Drosophila melanogaster: one gene and its partner. The protein of the gene in region 2 interacts with the protein of the main gene of each other region in a pairwise test. Each region holds a gene or a part of one and is shown on either strand. Other genes may lie near its edges. The genes, in order: Icmt and CG15908.

Region 1 (3,884 bases), on a different chromosome or scaffold from region 2:
TAAGTAAATGAGAGTGACTAAAAGATTTTGTTAACACTGATAATTGTTTGTACATACATATAACCCACACTCAGACACATACAAAAGCATACACATGTGAAATGACATGAACAAATAGAGAGAGTGAGGCTTGTGTCTTATAGATAGAGCAATATTCGAATTTAAATTGATAATAAAACAAAAGTGACACGCGAGCGAGACACAAAAGTCAACATTTTGTACAACTTGAAATCTTTGTATTGATTTTCAGATAAGAGGTGAAAGGAGGTTTATTTCCTCATCCTTTTATTTATTGGGTTTCTTATCCATTTATGGTATAAGATACCAATCGGGAGAATAATGCATACGACTACAATGTCCAAAGTTACAACGAGGAGTCATCAGCAGATAAGATTATCAACAACGATAGATAGACGAGTTAAACATTAAATAAAACTTGTGAAACACGCAGCTGTTTCATTTGCTTGCTAATGCGGCCCATAAATTCACAATTAACCCAAAAAAGAAGATTAGATTATCAGTTCAGCAACATGCTTTGACTAGTTTATGAATACAAAACAACATGCTAAATATTAGAAAACTTATTTGGAAAAAACAATGTGCTTGTAAATCTTTTTTTTTTGCTATACAAAAGAGAACTGCTGTATACCTTGTATACCTAAACCTAAAATAGAATTTTGTTTTGTTTGCCATGGCGACTTGTGACATTGAACCCCAGATCAGAGGCACTAATCGACCAGATAGCCCCGGATGAAGGGCAGGCCCGTTGGCACCCGCTTTTGATAGCGCACATAGTCCGACTGGAAGAAGTTGAGCAGGGAGTACTCCTCGACGTAGATGCGATCGTGGAAGAACAGCCAGCTGACCAGTGTGTAAATGCATATGCAGATGGGATTCAATAGCACGATCTGGGTTCCGATGGACCACCAGAACCAGCCGACATAAGACGGGTGGCGGCAGTAGGCGTAGATCCCGCTTGTTATTAGCTTGTGTTCCGAGTGTTTCTCATTCTGGACCTGTAGGAATAGATGTGTGATGAGAAGTTTACAAGCTATTTAGTTAGTTTTAATTAATAATAGTGTGATAATTCCTTAAGTGCAATAATATTTATATGTCCATGTATTAACAAATCATCACGACTAACCAAGTGAGTGAAGCTCCGGCCAGCTGTGATGATGGCTGCCTTGCGAACCATCTCGCCCAGCAGGCACAGGACCACGCCCGCCACCCAAATGTATCCGTATCTCTTGAACTGCGGCAGGTAGTACACCTCTAGTGAGAACTCGATCCAACTGGCTGCCGCCGCCAGTCCATAGTGCACAGAGTGGTTCAGCATAAAGGAGTCGAGACTGAGAGTGCGCGGATTGGCAAAGGCGATAACGAGGAACTCCGAGTAGTGGAAAAGGGACATGAAGCATCCGTAGGCGCCAAATTGCTGCCACTCGGTGGGAGCAAAGCAGATGACCAGCACACTCACGGCCATGGCAAAGCCCAGGAAGGATGCCCTAATGGCCACCTGTGGTGCAAGAATAGTTAGCGCCATAGCACTGATAAGGTTTATCGCGTCTCATCGATTGACTCACCTGGTAGTCGTGGTTCCGCAGCACAAACCGTATGATCATGTTAATAAGGGCGTAGTACAAAAATGGACCCCAGAGGACGGCGCCCCACACCTGTGGCACCACTCCATAAAGATTCTGGGGCACCGAGGGAATCAGGACTAGAGCTGCAGTAATCAGAAAGCAATATAAACTGATGCGGCCTTCGGAACACAGGCTGGTGCCACCGGCCCCAGGAGAAGCCACTCGGCTCTTTGCACACATAACTGGGGAATCGGGATTCTTTTTGTGCTGCTGCTGTGCGCAAAAACACGGAAATTGAGGTTTTTTAAAACATTTGCTTGGTTTAATGCGCCAAAATGTAAATAAACCGGCAAAGCTTTCGATAACGATAGGCAGCACAGTGAATAACCGCTAAAGTATAGGCTCGTGATTATCATAGAAATCAGTAATATAATTCTTACAGCTTTTAATAAAATAAATCATAAATCATAAATTAAATTAAATAAATAAATATTTAACACCACGTTTAGCAGAAAATGGTTTTAAAAATAAATTATGCGGGCAATTCTCTTTAGCCTATACCCCCTGTAACAATAAGCGATAGTTATGCACTGTTACATATCGACATATCGAGTTCTGAGGATTTAATTTAATTTTATATAGTCAGAAAAAATTTAATAGTAACTTAAATGAATTACATTTGTAGGTATTCACCTATACCTTTTTAAATAAATTTCTTAACTGCACGCCTTGCATCGATATTTTATCGATAACATGCTCATTTTAGCGCCGTGCAGGTTATGTAAAATAACAAGTAGAGTCGTTGAGATCAATTAAAAATATATAAAAACTCGACCGATATTCTGTTAATATCAAGCCATGGTCTTCCTGAACCTTCCCTTGCTGGTACGGTCCCGTGGTCCGGACGAATTCTGGCGGAAGAGACGCATCTTCAAGCTGGCAGCGGTATGTTTCCGAATATCGTGGCCACAATAAAAATAATGAGCTCTTAGTGCTTAATTTCTGCAGCATTATAGAAGCCGCACTCGCAATGTCTACTCCTTCGCCATCCGGAGTGTCCATAGGGCACTGGCCTATGCCACCAAGGGGCGAAAGCTAAAGAAACTGGACATGGCGCAACTGTGGAGCACACGCGTGGAGGCGGGTTGTCAGCAGTATGGAGTAGGTCTGGAAACCTTCAAAGAGGGCCTCGCGCGCTCCGATATTCTGCTCAACAAGTGGGTACCACCGGAAAATTCCCATATCCTTTAACAACCTATAACATCTTTCAGAAAAGTCCTATCCGACCTCGCCATTTGGGAGCCGCGATCTTTTGAAGCTCTAGTAAAGATCTCTCGAGAGCGGGCAGCTGTGGAGGGAATGCCAGACATCAAACGGAGATCGGCATTTAACCAGGTCTATGGACTGAGCAACCTGAAGTTGGATTAACATAGCCTTAAGTAGGAGTTCAAATATAGATATTTGTATGTTTTAAACGTGTAATCTTTAATTTTCACTTTGAAGGGAGTAAAATCGTTTGGGATTTGTTCTTTAGATTAGTTTTTAACTCCGAATTCGTATTTACATTTAGTTACATAATTCGTAACTTCTGCTTGCTGAATGAAATTTGATACTAAATCATTAATTTATTTACTGCAACTACCTTTTCCGCGAATGAATCCAATATTTTTTCGAGTAAAATGACAAATGTGATTAATGACAAAACACCTGTGCTGCTAGTTTTAACAAGTAACTCGAAATTTATTCAATGACGGTCCATGCGCAATGCAAACAAAAATATTGCATGAGCTTTTATTGTAGTTTTTAGTTTCGGGTTTGTGGGTGTGTTACATACTAATAAAAAGCATAGAATTCATAGAATTGTGAGACAGTGTCCGGAGGCGAGATCTACTCCAATTTGGCCAGGATGTCGGACTCGCGGAAGAGGAACAGCTCCTTCTGGTCACCCTCTAGGTTCACCTTGGTGCCACCGAATTCGGGCAGCAGAACACGATCGCCCTCCTTCACGCCAATGGGAATGTGGTTGCCAGTGGACTGCGGATGAAGTGGGATGTTCAGTGATTAGATGACCATCTCTGCATTGATAATGGCGAAATACTCACGGCATTACGGGTGCCAGGGCCTACGGCCAGAACGGTGCCCTCAAGTACTTTGCCCACCGCTTTCTCCGGCAAAACAATGCCTCCTTTCGTCTTGGTCAGCGCCTCGGCACGCTGGATTAGGATGCGGTCCAGCATGGGGATGATCTTCTTGATAGCGGCGGCCTGAGGATCATTAAAAAAGACCCAACAATTAACCCAT
Region 2 (3,080 bases):
GAAACCACGCTGTACATGTCCTGCATGGAGTAGCTACAGCAGATGGTACTTGAGAAATGATTTCACCAAGGGCGCTGACATTTCACTTACCCCACAAGCTCCTTTTTTGTGTACCAGCGGTGTTTTTTGCGGAAATCATTGAATGTTATGTAGGACCGGTGGGTGCTGCTGGAGAAGCTGCGCTGGTGTCCTCCACTGCAACAGGATAAGAGCAATCTGAGTGTCACGATCAATTTTGCTGCCGCAATGTTACGGTTTGGAGTCGGCCTCGGGTTATGTAATTTACATTTACCTGCTGACCTTGTTTCAATAAGGGGCCATAGGATTCTGACGTCCAGGGCTTTCAGTGTGCTACCCTTTAGCATTTTAGGCAAAGCTGGAGCGTTGGGATGCGGATGCGGAATAGGTATGTAGGTAGATATCAGCCCGTATCTGAAGTATCGCACAAAATGTGTCGTCAATACAGCTATTTTTTAGCTAGATTACCTATTCTCAGCATTACTGTTCTTAGACCGATTACCACTGCTAACGTTTATTAGATTTTACACAACTTGTTTGATTCGTAATACAAACACCTAGACTTTGAAAGCAAATGAGTTTTATAAGAAAAATGTGTCTTTACGTGTTTAATGAAAGCAATAATAATAATAAATGTAATAAATGTTAATAAATGTAGCAGCACTATCAGAAACAAATACAGCTGACACGAGCGTTGCCAGACCGCCGATTATTAGAAACCATTGCTGAAAAACTGAAATCTTTTAAGAACAATGAAACAACTTCCTTCTTTTCTTAACTAATAATTTACTATTTATCTTCACATGATCGTGCACAGCGAGCGTTCCTCTCCTTGCGGCGCCGCCTGTCCAGAGAGCTCTTTTTGCTTAAGCTCAAGATAGGTATTCTCGTTTCGCTTCTCCATCCAGTCCGGCAGAGGAGCAGCCCAATCCAGCGGTGGCTTCTTACGCTTCTGCCAAGTGTCGTTGGCAAAGTGGGCGCGCAGGCGGATCCTTCGGCGCTCCTCCTCGCTTTTAATCACCGCTTTGCCGGCAGCCACATCGTTCCCGTTGGACTGCTGATATCGTTCGCAGTTACGGTAATCAGTTAGCCATTGGGAGCAATCTGTGTCCTTGCCAAATATAAAGTACTGGTGGAAGCGCGCCTTAAAACTCGTGCAGTCGTCGTACTCCTCCTTGTACAGATGACAGGGTCGGATCTGTAAAGGGGATTCCTGAGTCTCGGATCTGTTAACGTAGCTGGATACTTACTGCCCATGCGTCATCTAGTGATTCCTTTGATTTGTCCGATTTTGAGTCAGCATTATCCGATTTTGTGGCCATTTCAATTACATAAAATCAATCATTAGCCCGCACAGCTGATTTTGTTTATGCCGCTGGCTCGCGGCGTTGCCATATCACCCCGATTGAAACTAGTCGGTTACTTTCAAATGTTTCATTTAATACCAAATAATTGCACAATTAATCATTAAAAATGTTTAGCAACTGGCGTTGCCGGCAACTATTTCGATTTTACTCGTATCCATGTAAAGTGTGTAATATGCGATCACTATGAAAAAGGTGTTTTATGTTTCCCTTTGTCACACTTAATTAAGCATTTCAAAGTGTCTTTCAAGCGTTTTCGGCATATTACAACAGAACTTATAAAATTAAAATAACTTTTACGTGTATACTTAGTTTTAGAGCTAAGACCCGATGGCAAATTACAACTAAATCGTAGTCAAAATTTACAATACGCTGCATATAAAGTGTTTCCACGGTCTTTTAACAAGCTACTCATAATTCTAGAATCGCTATTTTCAATCGCATTTTTTGTACAGAGCTGAGAACTGGGCGCGAATTAAATCACCGATCATGGGGTCAACTAAGCATATAAATATATATGTTTGTCTACATGGGCGTGGGGAAGTATCATTACGCGTTATGGTTTACGCTGTGGGATGTTACGTCTAATGTTATTCTGTAGTTTGACTTTAAGACCTATGAACTGTAGAAAATGACCGCACAGGACCCCCAAACCCGTGTAGATGTGGATGTGGGTAGCCGTGGGTCTGTTCTCGTTTGATCTCAGGGCAGAACGCTCTCCAGTTGGAGCAGCTGCAGCAGCTGCCGATGACAGCCGCCCGACAGTTAGTACTTGTTGTGCTGTGCCAGAAGCTGCATGTCCGTCAGATACTTGATGATGTGCACCTTCGCCTCTGCCTTTTGTCGCACGCCCAGCGTGTTGAGCATGTCCGTGACTACCATGCCGAACGACTGGTCCTCGGCGCTGACCGCCTGCGAGACGTTGTTTTGGAAAATCTTGATGGTGTTGAGCATGTTGTCGCTGTGCTCCTCCTCACTGCGCTCTCGCTTGAGCGGCGGCTCGTAGAAGTATGGCTTTTGGTCCTTGCCCACGGCAGTGGCCAGCTGTGCATCGCTGGTGACAGTAATTTCTGCAAGAGACCGAAGTATTTAGCAGGGATCTCTGGTGCTGAAATGCTGGTTCACCTACCATGCGGATGGGTCAGTGCCTGGGCCGAGGTTGTGGCGCTGCCGTTGAAGGGCTGTGCAAATATATCCACGACGGTCTGTTGCTGCGCCTGCTGCTGCTGCGACGGATCGGCCACCTGGTTGGCGCTTTGACTCCCATTGGCGCACTTGCCGAGCAGCGACTCTCGATACTGGCGGATGGAGTCAACCAGGAATTGCATCTGCTTGAAGTAACGCCAGCGCGATTCCTGACATAGTTTCATCTCGCGGGCGAACTTGTCGCGCAGACTCTTCCAGCGCTTCGTACATTTTTGTTCTAAAATGAAAAAGAGTTGTTGGTTTATGATTATTAAATGTCCATATTTAATAGTTATTAAACTAATGTTGCCTTTATGTATGCATTGTCTATTAACCCACATTTAATATATGTATGATCCAAAATAAAGAAGCCTTAAGTTCTGAAAACTCAATCTACTATTTTATTGCTTGGTTGGTAGATTTTAAAAAGGTCGCATAAGCTCATATTTCGTCTGAAATTTGCGTCACATTTTTTTGAGAAATTACTGACTGCCTTTCTAATGACTCACTTAA

Evidence for each region.
Region 1: the proteins of CG15908 (region 2) and Icmt interact in a two-hybrid assay, tested with the Drosophila melanogaster proteins (one large-scale study listed by BioGRID).

Annotation. Positions count from the first base shown.
Region 1 is NT_037436.4:13,016,320-13,020,203, reverse strand, and holds Icmt (isoprenylcysteine carboxyl methyltransferase), read right to left. Parts: upstream 1,939-3,884; 5' UTR 1,824-1,938; coding exon 1,584-1,823; exon of another isoform or gene 1,517-1,583; coding exon 1,145-1,516; exon of another isoform or gene 1,094-1,144; intron 1,017-1,093; coding exon 729-1,016; 3' UTR 517-728; downstream 1-516. Other genes in the region: mRpL20 (mitochondrial ribosomal protein L20), read left to right, coding at 2,442-2,528, 2,592-2,800, 2,855-3,011; CG11267 (uncharacterized protein), read right to left, coding at 3,471-3,617, 3,686-3,847.
Region 2 is NT_033778.4:6,666,445-6,669,524, reverse strand, and holds CG15908 (uncharacterized protein), read right to left. Parts: upstream 1,376-3,080; 5' UTR 1,341-1,375; coding exon 1,269-1,340; intron 1,217-1,268; coding exon 818-1,216; 3' UTR 787-817; downstream 1-786. Other genes in the region: CG9410 (uncharacterized protein), read right to left, coding at 1-33, 91-365; Adf1 (Adh transcription factor 1), read right to left, coding at 2,148-2,452, 2,512-2,805.